Caenorhabditis elegans: one gene and its partner. The protein of the gene in region 1 purifies or fractionates together with the protein of each later gene. This does not show direct contact. Each region holds a gene or a part of one and is shown on either strand. Other genes may lie near its edges.

The links. The genes of interacting proteins can lie anywhere in the genome.
Region 2: the proteins of C30H6.8 (region 1) and oig-2 fractionate together in Caenorhabditis elegans (co-fractionation; one large-scale study listed by BioGRID). This does not show direct contact.

What each region holds. Positions count from the first base shown.
Region 1 is NC_003282.8:17,380,710-17,383,631, reverse strand, and holds C30H6.8 (protein-disulfide reductase), read right to left. Parts: upstream 1,304-2,922; coding exon 1,148-1,303; intron 1,072-1,147; coding exon 854-1,071; intron 805-853; coding exon 642-804; 3' UTR 553-641; downstream 1-552. Other genes in the region: C30H6.12 (BESS domain-containing protein), read right to left, coding at 157-196; dlat-2 (2-oxoacid dehydrogenase acyltransferase catalytic domain-containing protein), read right to left, coding at 1,485-1,641, 1,728-1,865, 2,101-2,321, 2,366-2,503, 2,549-2,653, 2,699-2,897.
Region 2 is NC_003280.10:13,006,097-13,010,186, reverse strand, and holds oig-2 (Ig-like domain-containing protein), read left to right. Parts: upstream 1-2,022; 5' UTR 2,023-2,023; coding exon 2,024-2,133; intron 2,134-2,177; coding exon 2,178-2,268; intron 2,269-3,402; coding exon 3,403-3,528; 3' UTR 3,529-3,574; downstream 3,575-4,090.

The DNA.
Region 1 (2,922 bases):
ATTTAGCACAACAGTCTCCGCCCATATCTTAAATTCTTGCATTTTTGCATTAAAAATACATATACTTATTATGTATCTGCCATACGTCCTCTCATATTTTTATTACCACAAACTAAGATTTTGAAATAAAAATAGCAATTTTAGAAGTTAACCCACCGCTCTCCTCCATTTCAATAATGTCTTTTGCCATCAACATTAGAACATCAGACTATACGAAAAAATGAGACGAAGCCAAACAAAACCGCGTACTTTTCCTTTCAATATTTTTTTTGCCCGACTGCTTCTCTAATCAGTTAGAGGGGAAAGAGATGGAATCCCATAGCAACCACACACCGCCTTGCCCATTTTTAGTGCTTTTCTCGTTTCATTATCATTATTTTCGTTGTCGTGTAGGTTCAGACTCTCTATTTCTGATGCTGTTGTTCAGTGAGCGGAATGGGAGAGAATAACAGGATGTATATGGGGAATATATGTGAGAATTTTCGAGAATGCATTTTTTGTATTTAGTGTTCGTCTGGAAAATATTGGTGAGAAAAAGAACAAATTGTAATGGAAATTATTTACTTAAAAGAACCCATAATCAATGTTTTCTCTACTAAAATGTACATAATATTCAAGTCTAGTTGAGTCATCTGTGTAAATCACTGATTCAACAATTTCTTCCATTCCTCCATAGTCTTCACAGGATCCGCCTTGATTCCAGCTTCTACGTCAGCACGGACACGATCATGAACGACATCTCCATTGGAGTTAACGAGTTTCAGAACCGGTATCACCACTGCTTTGTACTTTTCCGATAGCTTTCTGAAAAATTATAATTTTTTTCAGTATAAATTTTGGAAATTTCTCTCACTGAATATTTTCATCTCCAAATGGAATATATGGCCAGTCTGGAAGATTCTTCTCATAGTATTCTTCTTGGTGGGCTGCTTCTTTGTCCTTCGACACCCATACGATTTCCAGATTCTTTCCAGCATCCGATTCTTTTACAGCATTGTAGAATTTCTTGATCTTTGGAGTCAGAAATTTGCAGGATCCACACCATCCAGCTGAGAAGTAGACAACTACTGTCTGAAATTCTTTTTTTTTCAATTTTTGAAAATAAATTTTGCAACGTAAATAGGTGATTTAAATTATTCAGTCCTACCTTATTTTCGAAATAATCTTTTGGTAGATTTCCATCAACTCCACGCTTCTTCATTGGAACCGATGACAAAAAGTGTGCATTTCGGATACTTGCGAACTTTGTGAAGTTGCCAGAAGCTGAGCGAAGAAATGATGAACCAAGAAGTGAAGGGGACATCTTGAAAATAATCGAAAATTGTGGAAGAAAATGTTGGACGACGCGATATTTTTAGGGCGATTCACGCGGAAAGTGTTTTCAAATTTCGAATTGCATTCAAATTAAAAATTCGACTTCATTTTATCTAATATTAGAGTACATCGGTGCTATGAAGAGTATGAGAATCCTGTCTAATTCGAAACTACAATAAACGCGAAAAATCAAAATCGAGTTCTGGAGAAAGTGGTTCAGCAATGAGCAATTCCGGATCAGAAAGCGATTCGGAGAAGTGAAGAAGGAATCGTTTTGCACATTCTTCGGAGATTGCTCGTCCGTCGAAACAAAGATTGACACCCATTCTAGAAAAAAATACATATTAATCTGATGGGATTATTTAATTTTGATGGCAGAGATTTTTTTTAATTTCCTAGGTATCAGTCCTTACAATTTTTGTGTCTCCAATTGTCCATCAACAGATACAACTTCAGAACGAGTTCCTCCGATCGTCAAAATGGCACATTGCGGTGGATTTATGATGGCTGTGAAGTTGGTCACACTTCCGAACATTCCAAGATTCGAAATTCTGAAATTTTCTAATTTTTGTATCATTTCGGGATGATAGCTTTTAAATTTGCATGATTATCATGTGATTTCTTTATCAATTCTTCTCTCTTACGAGAAATTAGAACAGAAACATAAAAAACTTCAAAGATCTCTAGAAGTTGTTTGATGTGGATACATTTTTTGAACGTTGTGAACGTTTCAATAATTTCTGTAATTATATTTGAAGTAACCGAAACAAATAGAATAAATCTCACGTAAAAGATCCTCCCTGGAACTGTTGTGGTTTTAATTTGCTTTCTCGCGCCAATCCCGACAACTCCTTCACTTTGCTAGAAATCGCCAAAACGCCCAAAATATCAGAATTCTCTACAATTGGAGTGATAAGGCCGGTTGGAGTAGCCACAGCGACCGAAATATCGACTGATCCGAGACCGATTCCTTCTGGAGTCCATCGAACATTTACTGTCGGCACGGACTGAAATAGAGCTCTCATTTACGAAGAAATTTTGAAAAGCCTACCCTCAGTGCAAGGGCTGCGGCTTTTATGATAAAGTCGTTGAGCGAAACAGCAGTTCCGGATTTTTTCAATTTCTGTCTCAACGCCAGAATATCGTCAATTCGAACGTCAACACCTTGATATTCGTGAGGAATTTGCTGCTGAAATAAAATATTTTCTCCAATAATAACATTTCGAATTTTTACTTTAGAAGCTGTCAATCGTTTTGCGATTGTTGCTCGAATATTGCTGAGAGGAATATCTTGGTGATGACGGAGACTGCGATTGTTGGCGCCGAAAATGTCTGATTTCTGCAAAACAAAACAATATGTAATTTTTGAAACATTTTTCCAAACCTTTTCAATAGATTTATTTTCAATATGTGTTTCTTTTGGAGCATGTGCATGATGAGCCACCGGCTTCAGCTTTTCAGCTTCAACTATTTTCATAACATCGCCTTTCAGAATATTTTTGTTTTTTGGGCCTGTTCCATCAATTTTTCGATTTTCCAGACCATATTGAATCAGAAGAAGCTTGACTGCAGGACCGCAAGCTCTGGAAAATACTATTAAATAGAAAA
Region 2 (4,090 bases), on another chromosome or scaffold:
TCCAAAATTTTTAGAATTTCAGAACTATTTCTTGAATGTTGTTTTTTTCGGAATTTTCAAATTTCTAGAAAATTTAAATACTTCTGAAACTGTAGTTTTTTGAATTTTCAGAATATAATGAATATCAGAGGTTTTGAATTGTTAGTTGTTTTTAGATACTGAAATAATTTTTGGCGATTTTCGGCTTTCAGAATTTTCAGAATATTTTGATTATTTGAGGTTCTGAATTGTTGGTTTTTTGAAAGATTTTTCCATGAAACTTTTTTGCGATTTTCTGCAAAAATTCCCACGAAAAATCTCAAAACTGGAAGGTATAAATGCGGTGACAAATATTAAAAAAAAACAATTCTCTGATTCCGTACAATTTTGCAAAAATTTCCAGCAAAGCGACAGGTATCTTCTGATCTCATTCACTTCAAGTTAACGTCTATATTCTTTTCAACTCAGCGGGCTCAAGTCCTCTTGTGTCTTTTATAATTACATGTAGCATTAGGTTTCCACAACGACCACGTCTCCGTGCTCTTTTTGAAACACCCATAATTTACATTCCATCAGACAGCTCGATTCTGATTGAAGTTTTCACTTTTTTCGAAATTTATGTATTGCTCCCCCCGGGTTACAAGCATATGTATAGTCGATTTTGAAACGATTTTGTTTCACTGAAAGTTTAAAAAAATGTTTTTTGAAACCTAGAAAAATGTGTTTTTTATTATATTTTCCCCAGAGTTGCATTTCTTTCTAGCAAATTAGAATGCCCAGAGTAGTTCAAAAAAATGTTTTGCCCCTTGTCTTTGTGATATCTTTTTCCGTACCTTCCTCCAAACTTCTCACCACAACCATTATATGGGCGGAGCCTAATAAACCCCTCCTGTTTCACAATTCAAATTTCCAGGTACATCATGTCATCAAAAGAGCTCTATAGACTCAAAACTTTCGACGATCACTATTTCGAAATGTCCACCGAATCAATCGGAGATCCTCTCCCAGATGGCAAGCCAAGTCCAACAGGGAAAAGCTTCCAACTATGTGATACCAGTTCCGAACGTCAAAGGAATTACCATGAAGATGGTTGTCACCTGGTGCATCCGTCATCGAGTCGAAGTTCCGAGCACTTCTACGTGGGAAGTTGACTATGTTAAATCATTGGATCGAGAGGAACTGAAAGATGCGATATGGGCCGCCAAGTATCTTCGAATGCCAATTCTTATTAATATTACTAGTTCTGAACTGTTTTTGCGAGCCGAAAATACACCGGTAGAGAGGTTAGATGAAGTGTATCCGATGCCGCACTGTGTAGGCAGAGCTCCGGAGAGAAGCACCAAAATCACCATTCACAAATTCAAATAAACTTGGATACAATTATTTTTGTTTTCTTTTAGTACTCAGTTCATAAATATATTAAAGTGGGATCCATCTTCGTTTTTTAGTGATTTTACAAAAGTTTTATAGTAGAAAAAAACAGAAAATAAACTGTTGCGTTCAATGCTGAAACATTTTTCAATGTTTGAAATGATAATTTTATTCGAGATTTCCAATGAATAAATAACTTTTCATAGAAGGTAGTTTTGGGAAAAAAAATTGGAAATTTTCGCGTCCAGAAAGTATGGAGTCCTATCAATGACTGAAAATATAAAATACTCTATAAGAATAAGAAATTGATATGTTAATAATCAGAAAAATACAATAATTAAAAAAATTCATAGAATCAAGTGAATTATTAACCAAAACTTTAATTCTATGCCATTTCAATTGCTGTTCATCGCGTGTATCGAATTCATTGACTTGCTTTGAACCAACAAATCAATCAATGCCCTCAACATTTTTCTCAATATTATTAAACATGTTGGCTTCAGAAAAAAGTGCTCTTTCATCTCCCTCCGCCTACTCATCTCTCCATCTCTGCCCCTCAAATCTCTCAGCTTCCGTCACCTGTTACTGACGGAATTGATCAGTGAGAAGCTCTTCGAGCGTTTTCATTACATATGTTCAGCCATCTTATTAGTTCTAAAAGGTTAGTTTCAGAATGGTTTTGGCTCCGTTTTTCGAGAAAGCTCCATCGCTTATCATTGCTCCAGACGGATCAGTTCTGTTCGAATGCATCTGTAATGCGAATCCACAACCAACAGTTAAATGGTAAAAGATTTTGGTTTATGAACCCCTAACCTTAACTACTGTAGGTTTTTGAAAGACAAAGAGCTGACTGGTGATCGTTACGTGTCAAAGATCAAGAAGATGGTTGGCAAGTTCACAGTTACACTGCATATCAAGGTAAGTAAGATTTTTGTAATACTGATAAACTGATCGGGATTCTAGATTAAGAAGAGAATAAGAAGAAAGGAACGGATAGAACACTTGATCTGGTTTTTAGAGGGAAACTTAAATTGTAAGAACATGGTGTAATATTGACCTTCGAAACACTTGCCTCGAGATTTTGTTTCACATTTATTTTAAAGTAAAAAACTTCAGAAACAATTTATTGACCTAGAAAATGTCGGCCATTCTTTTAAAAACCGTTCCTGGAAAGTTTGGGATGGTCTCCGGCAGGAACAAAAATTGAAAATAGGCTATACAATTTCGGAAAGTTTTTTTTTTCATTTATCGGAATCGAACATATATTTAAGGGCTGTGCGGTATTTTTTCGGCAAACCCACAATAATGTTTATTTCAAAATGATAATCCAACTTTTTTCATGCAAAATTAACATAGAAACGTAGAGAAAGGTTTGTTCTATCTGGAAAAAATACAAATTTTTTTGAAAAGTTTGAAAAAAAAGTTCAAATAGTGTCTGAAAGTTGTCGTTTGTCTAAACACTTTTAACGGCACTTTTTTGGCAAACGTCAACTTTCATGCACTATTTTTGATTTTTTAAAATTTTCCAACAAAAATAAATATGCACCATAACTGGCTAGATTCACCGTCGATGCACCATATCAAGTTAGATGCACCGTAACTGGTCAAATGTACCATAACTAGTTAAATGCACCATAACTGGTTAGATTCACCGTAACTGGTCAAATGTACCATAACTTGTCAGATGCACCATAACTGGGTAGATTCACCATCGATCATCAGCATAATTCACATACAATTTTTTTGAAATTCAGCTCAAAAATGAAGCTTGATGATGAAAATTAGGCAATGGGAATATTCATACTTTTTGAAAATAAAATTACTTTATATTAAAAATTTCAAAAAGTTGCTAAAAAATTGCCTCAATGCCGTAACACCCATCGGCATACTCACTTGGCACATTTTAAATCAAATGCCAATTTTGATCACTTTTTCATAATCTTCACTAAAATAACGCTATCTTCTAAAAGTACAAATACTTCTCTATATTTTCATATGAATTTCCAGAAATGAGCATTCTAGATAAGTTAATAACAAAGAAAATGTTTCCAGAACCCTACCCAAGAGGACCAAGGAGTTTACAAAGTGACTGCTACAAACACCCATGGCTCACACTCCGTTGAGCAGCAGTACATCTACAAATGCACTGGAAAAGAGGTTTTCAAGACTCTTGACTAAATTCTGCTAGATTTCTTTAATATTTCTTCCAATAAACTTTTCCGTCGCTATACTGTATCTTAATATCACTCGTAGAAGAAACAACGTGGTTATCATGTGATAAGAAGGTCAGAAATAGAGAGAAAAGATGTCAAAAATACTAGGAATTTTGAGTGTAGAGTTCAGAAAAACAGATTGAACAAAAAACGAAGTATACCCGATCAGGGAGATCGGTTTTTGGAAGGAAATAAAAATGATCACATGTGCAGAATAGTAAAAATGTTGATTGAGAAAATTTTGTTGGCGACATGTTGGAGTCAGATCTGTTCGAGAGTTCAAGTTGATAAGAATTCTAGTTTAAAAGTTTAGACTTTTGGTTTGGACATCTGAACTACAGGCTGATAGTTTAAACTGTAGGTACAGAATAGTATGAAAACCGTACGAGCAAACTTTGATGTCAATTTCCTTTGGTAAACATTCAGAATCAAAGATGGGAATGTTTGAAGACTTTTATGAAGTGTGCCAAATATAAAAGTACAATTTTTCAAAAAAAAAAAAAATTGAAAATTTTAATTTTGCGGCA